2 linked regions of the Macaca fascicularis genome follow. The protein of the gene in region 1 interacts with the protein of each later gene in a biochemical or structural test. Links are inferred from orthologs where the notes say so. Each region holds a gene or a part of one and is shown on either strand. Other genes may lie near its edges.

What was found. The genes of interacting proteins can lie anywhere in the genome.
Region 2: the proteins of MYO18A (region 1) and GOLPH3 form a complex in vitro, tested with the Homo sapiens proteins (2 studies listed by IntAct). The link is inferred for Macaca fascicularis from reciprocal best matches to the Homo sapiens genes MYO18A and GOLPH3.

Annotation. Positions count from the first base shown.
Region 1 is NC_088390.1:34,668,050-34,671,998, reverse strand, and holds the start of MYO18A (unconventional myosin-XVIIIa), read left to right. Parts: upstream 1-1,149; 5' UTR 1,150-1,235; intron 1,236-3,949.
Region 2 is NC_088380.1:32,746,672-32,750,171, reverse strand, and holds part of GOLPH3 (Golgi phosphoprotein 3), read left to right. Parts: intron 1-1,852; coding exon 1,853-1,984; intron 1,985-3,500. UniProt on the Homo sapiens protein: Phosphatidylinositol-4-phosphate-binding protein that links Golgi membranes to the cytoskeleton and may participate in the tensile force required for vesicle budding from the Golgi.

The DNA.
Region 1 (3,949 bases):
AGCAGGCAGTTTGTCAAATTGAGTTTGAGTTGCATGTTATTCCAAAATGTGTATCCCACCTGGGTCTATTCCTCAGGAACTTCTAACTCTTACTCAACTCTTTGCTTCTGAGCCTTCTCGCTCCAGCCCTCCCTGGTCTGTCAGGTTGGGCTGCCCTTGCCTGGAGAAGTTCCTGTTTGGGCTGTCTAGGGAAGCAGCTGCCTTTGTCTGCTACACCCTTCTTCCTGCACCACCCCACTCAGTTTCTTCCACATTCTGGCGCACCCCACTCCAGCATGGACACTGCCCAGAAAAGTGTCTCCGTTTCTTTCTCTCTCCAAACTCCAGACATAGCACCTATCTTGGAGGCCTGGTATCTAGATGTCCCTTGGCCTCTCCTAGGAAGTATAAACTGTCTTCTTGGTGGGTAGAGCAGCTCACTTGATATTTACAGCACACGGTGGACCCAGGGACAGACTGCACTCCAAAGAGTGAAAGTGTTAATCGTGGCATTGGTGAACTCCTTCAGGGAGTGAGTGGCACTTACAGCCATGGCTCCCGGGCCCCGTACGCCTCTTGATCCACTCCACTTTGAGACAGGGCTCTATCAGACCAAGCTATTGAGAGTCTGTTTTTACCTTGGGGAGTGCATTCTGGCAGTGCCATCTGGGACATGGAAGGCAGTAACTGGTCTGGACTGAGCCTGGGGCACCATCCAGCAGGGCCCTGTGTGTGCCTCTGCAGAGCCACCTTGGGAAGAGTTGGCCAGTAAGACTTAATTGCTTCCTCTAGACAGCACTACCTTGAACACAGCCTGCAGAGTTCGGTGCCTGCCTTGGACAGCCCCTCTTCTATACGTTCATCATGACCCTGGTGCCTGTCCTGGGCAGTGCCACTCAGCCCCTTTCGGACCCTTTTCGGACAGCCTCCAGTGCCCAGTGCAGACAGAAACTCCAGGCAGGGCCTCTCTCAGACACAGCGAGAGGGGCTTCAGAGCCCACTGCGGACGGAGGCTGCTAGGGCAGCGCCCGGCCCGCCTGGCCCACGTCTGGCGGCGCGCACTGGTGCTGCCAGGCAGGCCGGGCGTTTATCCCCAGAGCAGCCAGCAGGGAGCTCCCTTTCGGCTCGGCTGGCGCGGTCGCTGGGGGCGGCGCTGAGCTGCGCCGCGCTGCGCTCTGCTCCAGCCCCGACCGGGCCGAGGCTGCTGGATGCCGCGTCTCCGCTTCTGCTGCCTGCCGGGCGGGCTCCGGTGGCCGGTGAGTGCGGGTCGGCGGCGGCTGCCGCTCGGTGGCGGGCCCGGCCCGGTGGGGCGGCGGGGCGGGCTCCGGCCGGGCGGGCGGGCGGGCGGGCGGCGGGGCCCGGCGGCTCCTCCTCCTCCCCTGTCCCCTGGAAGCAGCGGCCCGGACTCCCGGCTCCCGTCCCTGGCGGCGCCGTGGAGCTCGACGCCCGGGGGTGGGGGCCGACCGGGAGCGGCGGGGAAGGGGGACCACCGGCCCTTCCAGCCAACCTGGGGGGCGCAGGGAGGCAGGACAGGGTGGCCTTCAGTGTGGGGGGATTTGGCGCTTGGAGGCGCCCAGGTGGCCCGGAGCTGCGGGGTGCGGGCTGCAGCCTCGGGGGTGGGGGGACTTCTCTTGTCCCGGCCCAGGCCCCCCGATGGAGCGAGCGAGCGAGCGGGGCGCTGAGGAAGGCAGCGGGGAAAGGGAGCACCTCTACCCAGCCTTTTATCCCTCCCAGCGGCCTTCACTCTTTCACTGCCGGGCCGACTGCGGGCTCCTCTCAAAGGAGCAGCTGCTAGACAGCTGGCAAAACAATAGAGACCCCGCTTCCCTGGGCCCCCTCCTCTTGGGACAGAAGATGAGGCGATGAATGGTGGCAGGCTTTGGGGATTAGGGAGTGCAGGCTGTACCCTGCGACTGAATGCTCACCTCACCTTTCCCTGCAGAGGGGTGGGGTGCGTGTGGGAAGGTCGGACAAGCTGCCCCAGGCCTCTGGAGAGACCGCCCCAACGCCCCGCCCTGCTAACCTGTCATGCCAGTTGTTTCGCCAATGGGAAGGGGAGGTGGTAGGGGTGGCTGCCCCCTCACCCTGCCCCTTGTTAGTGGGGGTGCTCTCCTTGGTCCCAAGCCTGGCCAGGAGTGTGGGTCATGTTCCTGGGTGCGATAAGGCCCGCAGGGACAGGCCAGGCATTGGGGCTTTGTTGTGGGGGTGGAGATGGGGGAGTTGCCCTACTGCAAGGCACATGTGTCTTACTGATTAGTTGGAAAGGTTGCGGCCAGAATGAGCCAGAGGTGGGGGGTGGGGGAGATGGGGAGGAAGACAGCCAGTTTGTTTTTGAGCCCGTATTCGTTTTGCCTGGCCACTTGACCAATGGGGCACGTGTTTGGCGCTGGCCGCATAGTGTGTGTTTGTGTGGGGAGGGCTCGGGGAATGCTTCCTGAGAGGGACTGTCCTGGTTAGGGCCTTCATGCCCTCAGATGGCCACCCAGAATTAAAGAATTGGGTTCCCTCCCCGCTTCACCCTGCCAATGACTTGGGCTAGTTAGTGTGGGTTCGTCTTGTCTTTTGGAGCCCCTGGCGTGTCTGTGGCTGAGAAGACCTCATCAGTGCCCCTGTGGCGAGTGAGCTCTGGGAATTGTGTATGCACTGGGGCGCGCTGGAAGGGAGGGGAGGCCACTTGGATGATTAAGAGCGAGATCAGGCCGGGCGCGGTGGCTCACACCTGTAATCCCAGCACTTTGGGAGGCCAAGGCAGGCGGATCACCTGAGGTCAGGAGTTGGAGACCAACCTCAACATGGATAAAGCCCGTCTCTACTAAAAATACAAAATTAGCCGGGCGTGGTGGCGTGTGCCTGTAATCCTAGCTACTTGGGAGGCTGAGGCAGGAGAATTGCTGGAGCCTGGGAGGCGGAGGTTGTGGTGAGCTGAGATCGCGCCATTGCACTCCAGCCTGGGCAACAAGAGTGAAACTCTGTCTCAAAAAAAAAAAAAAAAAAAAAAGCAAGATCATCTGAGGAGGACGGTGAGTACAGAGCCCATTGAATCAAGCTGCCTTTCCCTTGTGCTTTGGAGCCCTTTTCTTGAGCAGATTGGTGCCCCGTTGTCGTAGCAACAGGCCTGGCCTAATGTTCCCCACCCTTTTTAGTTCAGGGGCTACTTTCTATTTGGGGATATTGAAAGTTGCTCTCCTGAGGTCTCTGGCTTCCTGACAAGCCTCACTGGCTCTTTGTCCATGGCTTCCCACCTCCTCAGCTTCCCCTCTGTTTTTTTGTGATGAAGGCTTTCCAGGAAACATCCTCCTGGTTTCTGGATTTGACAGACGGGTTATATATAGCCTCGGGTGGAGGTGTGCTTGTCCATTTTGGGTTGAGGACATCGGGGTTGTGGCCTCAATTCCAGGAAAACCATGGCTTTGGGGGCAGCTATTGTATTGAGGGGATTAGGGGAATGAGAAGGGTTGTAGGTGGGGGTGGAGGGTGGGCATGGGAGGGGCCACAGGCTGGTGGTCACTTACTTTGGGAGCTTTGAACTTTGAACAGCTGATGACCTGGTGCCTGGTAGCTCTGAGTGTCTAGTTTGTTTACTCTCTCCTGGCCTGGCCCAGGTGCTAGAGTGTATGCCTGAGGACTTCCTCCTGCGCCCCAGACTTTCCTCATGTGGGTTATGCCCTTCCTGACTCCCACCTGGTCTCTCAGCCTCACTCCTGGGCCGTCTGGGTAGCCAGCCAGTTCCCTGGAGGCCCCCTCACTGGCCCTGGTAGTGGCTGTTCATTGAGGAGTGCATGTGTCTTCAGAAACTAGGCCTGAAAACTCTGGGCCCCCCAGAGGCAGGTACCTAAAGGTGGACTGGGTGGGGCAGAACTGGGGCTCCTGTGAAAGGGAGAATCCACCCTGCTGAGGTGGAGCTGGGAGTTGTTGGAACTCAGGAAGCCTTCATCCGGACTTGGTGTGTCACAGGTCTCCAGGGCAGCAG
Region 2 (3,500 bases), on another chromosome or scaffold:
TAAAGACCCCGTTTTGCTAATATCTCTGGGTATGCCATTAAAGGAGCATTTGAGATTGAGACATATTTTAGTTCTCTGCTATCAAATGTAAGCTTCCATACTGTTCAGCTGGAGTTTGCAGGCTCTAGGGCTGTTGACGTCCATTATTGCTTTATGAGGTGTTCTTTGTTGTTTACAGTTTGTAGAGGCTCACTTAGGAACTCTGTCTATATGTCCCGGCCAGTCAAAGCCAGATATCTGTAACTTTAATTTCATGTGGAATTCATTCTCAGGCTTCGTAGGGCTTTAATTTCATGGACACAGAAGCCACACATTTTACCTAACCTCTATAAACTACTGGTATTATTAGCCACTTTGCTAAATCTCTGCTGATCTTCATTTGATCAGACCCCAACACTAATTTTAAAATGATTCCCTAAAATCCAGTCAGTGTCTGCTTCTTCTGCCTCACATTTAAATTGATCTCTTAACACTGATGTTTTTGTTTATCCCCTTGTGCCTCCTTTAATCTAAATTGTTATTTTTCCAAAGGTCACATTCTCAGAAGTGGTGGCTTAGTGAGGCGAATTTAACTCCTTGTATCAAAAATGAAGTTTGATGGACCTCAGTGGTCAGTCATCTTCTGAAATACAAGCTCACTACTCTGGCCTGGCAAACTGCCAGGATTGACCTTGGAAAAGTGCCAGAGGTGAGGGCCAGGCCTTCCTAATCCTGGGCCCTCCATTCTTCAGAGATTCAGTTGGCCTGTTCTACCAAAATTATGTTACCTGTTCTGAGCCTTAATGAGAATTATTTATAGCTTCTGCTGTCTCATGAGAACTGGGATGTTAAATTGATAGCTGGCAACCCTCCTGCCAAGATTTGTGGCTTTATAATTTGAACAACTCCAGTTATTTGCTGTTACAGTGCCCTGACCTCATCTGGTGATGTCTGCTTGACCAGTATCCCATATCTCTAGATGTCTATCAACCTCCTTATGTCTGGCTGTTCTTCCGCCATGGATGCTGCCCTTACATTGTCTCTTGGGGCCGATCTGATTGTTATACTGTTTATTATTCAGAATTTTAGGCATATAGCCATCCGTTTGTTTGTGGGCCCGTATGTGTTTTTCTAATATATTCTTACAAAATTAACAGTGTGTGTATTTAAGACACAATGTCTCACAGTTTCGCCCAGGCTGCAGTGTGTCGGTGTAATCATTGCTCACTGTAGCCTTGAACTCTTGGACACAGTGGTCCTCCTGCCTTAGCCTCCTTAGTAGCTGGGACTACAGGTGTGTACCACCATACCTGGCTAATTGATTTTTTTTTGATAGAAACAGGATCTCACTATGTTGTCCAGGCTGGTCTCAAACTCCTGGGCTCAAGCCATCGTCTTGGCTCCGCCTCCCAAAGCACTCGGATTAACCTTGTGGTTTTATCCTAAACAGCAATAAATGGATGGTATTCTAATTCTCAGTGAAGCTAAATTGGCTAGGTTGCCTTTCCCTGAGCTTCTTAACTTGTCCACATATAATAAATCACTATAATCGGAGATTAACTGAGTATTCCTTGGAGTTTGCAGGGTTCTGAAAGAACCTAATAAACACAGCTTAGTGAAATGTGAGTTATATTTCTAAACTTTTGACCTCTAAAGTTATTTGTTGTTTGTATATAAGAATAAGTGGTGGAAAGATAAGCCCCTGAAAATTATCGATTAATAATTTATGTTAATTGTATTTTTTCAGTATGTTGTTATAGAAATACAAGAAAGGTAAAAGGCATCAAATAGGACTTTGGCTGAGAATATTTGTTTTTGACTGTGAATTCAAGGTAAATTAGCTATTTTGTTTTATTTCTTCTTTTTTTAACAGGGTTACACATCATTTTGGAATGACTGTATATCATCTGGATTACGTGGCTGTATGTTAATTGAATTAGCATTGAGAGGAAGGTTACAACTAGAGGCTTGTGGAATGAGACGTAAAAGTCTATTAACAAGAAAGGTAAGAGGAGTGCTGAGTAACTTTCTTTTTAAAGAGGTTGTACTACTTAAAATGTATGCTTTTACTAATAGCTTTCAAAAATGAAAGCGGAAGTTGATATTAAAGTTGTCTTTATTCTATTGTATTTCCATATCTTTTTTGCATTCTTGGTTTTCTGGTTCTTTGTACCTACAATGAATAATGTAATTCATTATTAAGGTAACTGGCCACTGGATCTTACATCTTCAGAAAGATTTTAGACTTCATTTGCTGCTTTTAAAAGCCATGGTTTTGAAAGATTTGACATTAAAAACTCAAAAGTGTTACTGTGCAATTTATGCATAGGCTATTGATCTTTTCATCAGATTATGAGTACTTTTCAGATACCTGTCTGTGAAAGTCTGTGTAGGTGCTTCTCTGGTATAATAGAGGTAATTTAACTTAAACCTCAATCTCAAATATTCAAGACTGATTTTCTTCTGGTTTGTCATTGTGTTTCTTGAGCATGGTGTTTCAAAACTAGTTTTTTTCCTCAATCAGTGTCCTAATGAATCTAAAAGTTTTAGGTCAGAGCTGAACACTTCTTGATTGATAAGCTATAGAGAATAATAGTTCTGTAGGGAAGAACACCATTCATGCATTTTTTTTTTTTTTTTTTTTGAGACAGAGTCTTGCTCTGTCACCCAGGCTGGAGTGTAGTGGCGTGATCTCAGCTTACTGCAACCCCTGCTTCCCTGGTTCAAGTGATTTTCTTGTCTCAGCCTCCCAAGTAGCTGGGACTACAGGCGTCTACTGCCACACCCAGCTAATTTTTGTATGTTTTGTAGAGGGTTTCGCCATGTTGCCTGGGCTGCTCTCAAATTCCTGGGCTCAAGTGGTCCGCTCGCCATGGGCCTCCCAAAGTACTAGGATTACAAGTGTGAGCTACCATGCCCAGCCCATTGTTTTCTAGTATATAGAGTTGCTATTCGAATCTGGTGCCCTTCTGATTTTCTTTTCCTTTTTTTTTTTTTTGGATACAGTGTCTCACACCATTTCCCGGGCTGGAGGGTGGTTGGTATGATCTTGGTTCACTGCAACCTCTGCCTTCCAAGTAGCTGGGACTACATAGGTATGTGCCATCATGCCTGGCTAATTTTTTTTTTTTTTTTTGACACCAAGTGTTGCTCTGTCACCCAGGCCAGAGTGCAGTTGGTGCCATCTCAGCTCACTGCAATCTCCGCCTCCCGGATTCAAGCGATTCTCCTGCTCCAGCCTCCCTAGTAGATGGGACTACAGGCATGCACCACCACACCCGGCCAATTTTTTTTTTTTTTGTATTTTTAGTAGAGATGGGGTTTCACCATATTGGTCAGGCTGGTCTCGAACTCTTGACCTCAAATGATCCACCTGCCTCCCAAAGTGCTGAGATTACAGGCGTGAGCCACCGCGCCCAGCCTCCGGGCTAATTTTTTTAAAAACATTTTTGTTAGAGATAAGGTCTTACTTTATTGTCCAGGCTGGTCTTGAATGCTTGGGTTCAAGTGATCCTCATGCC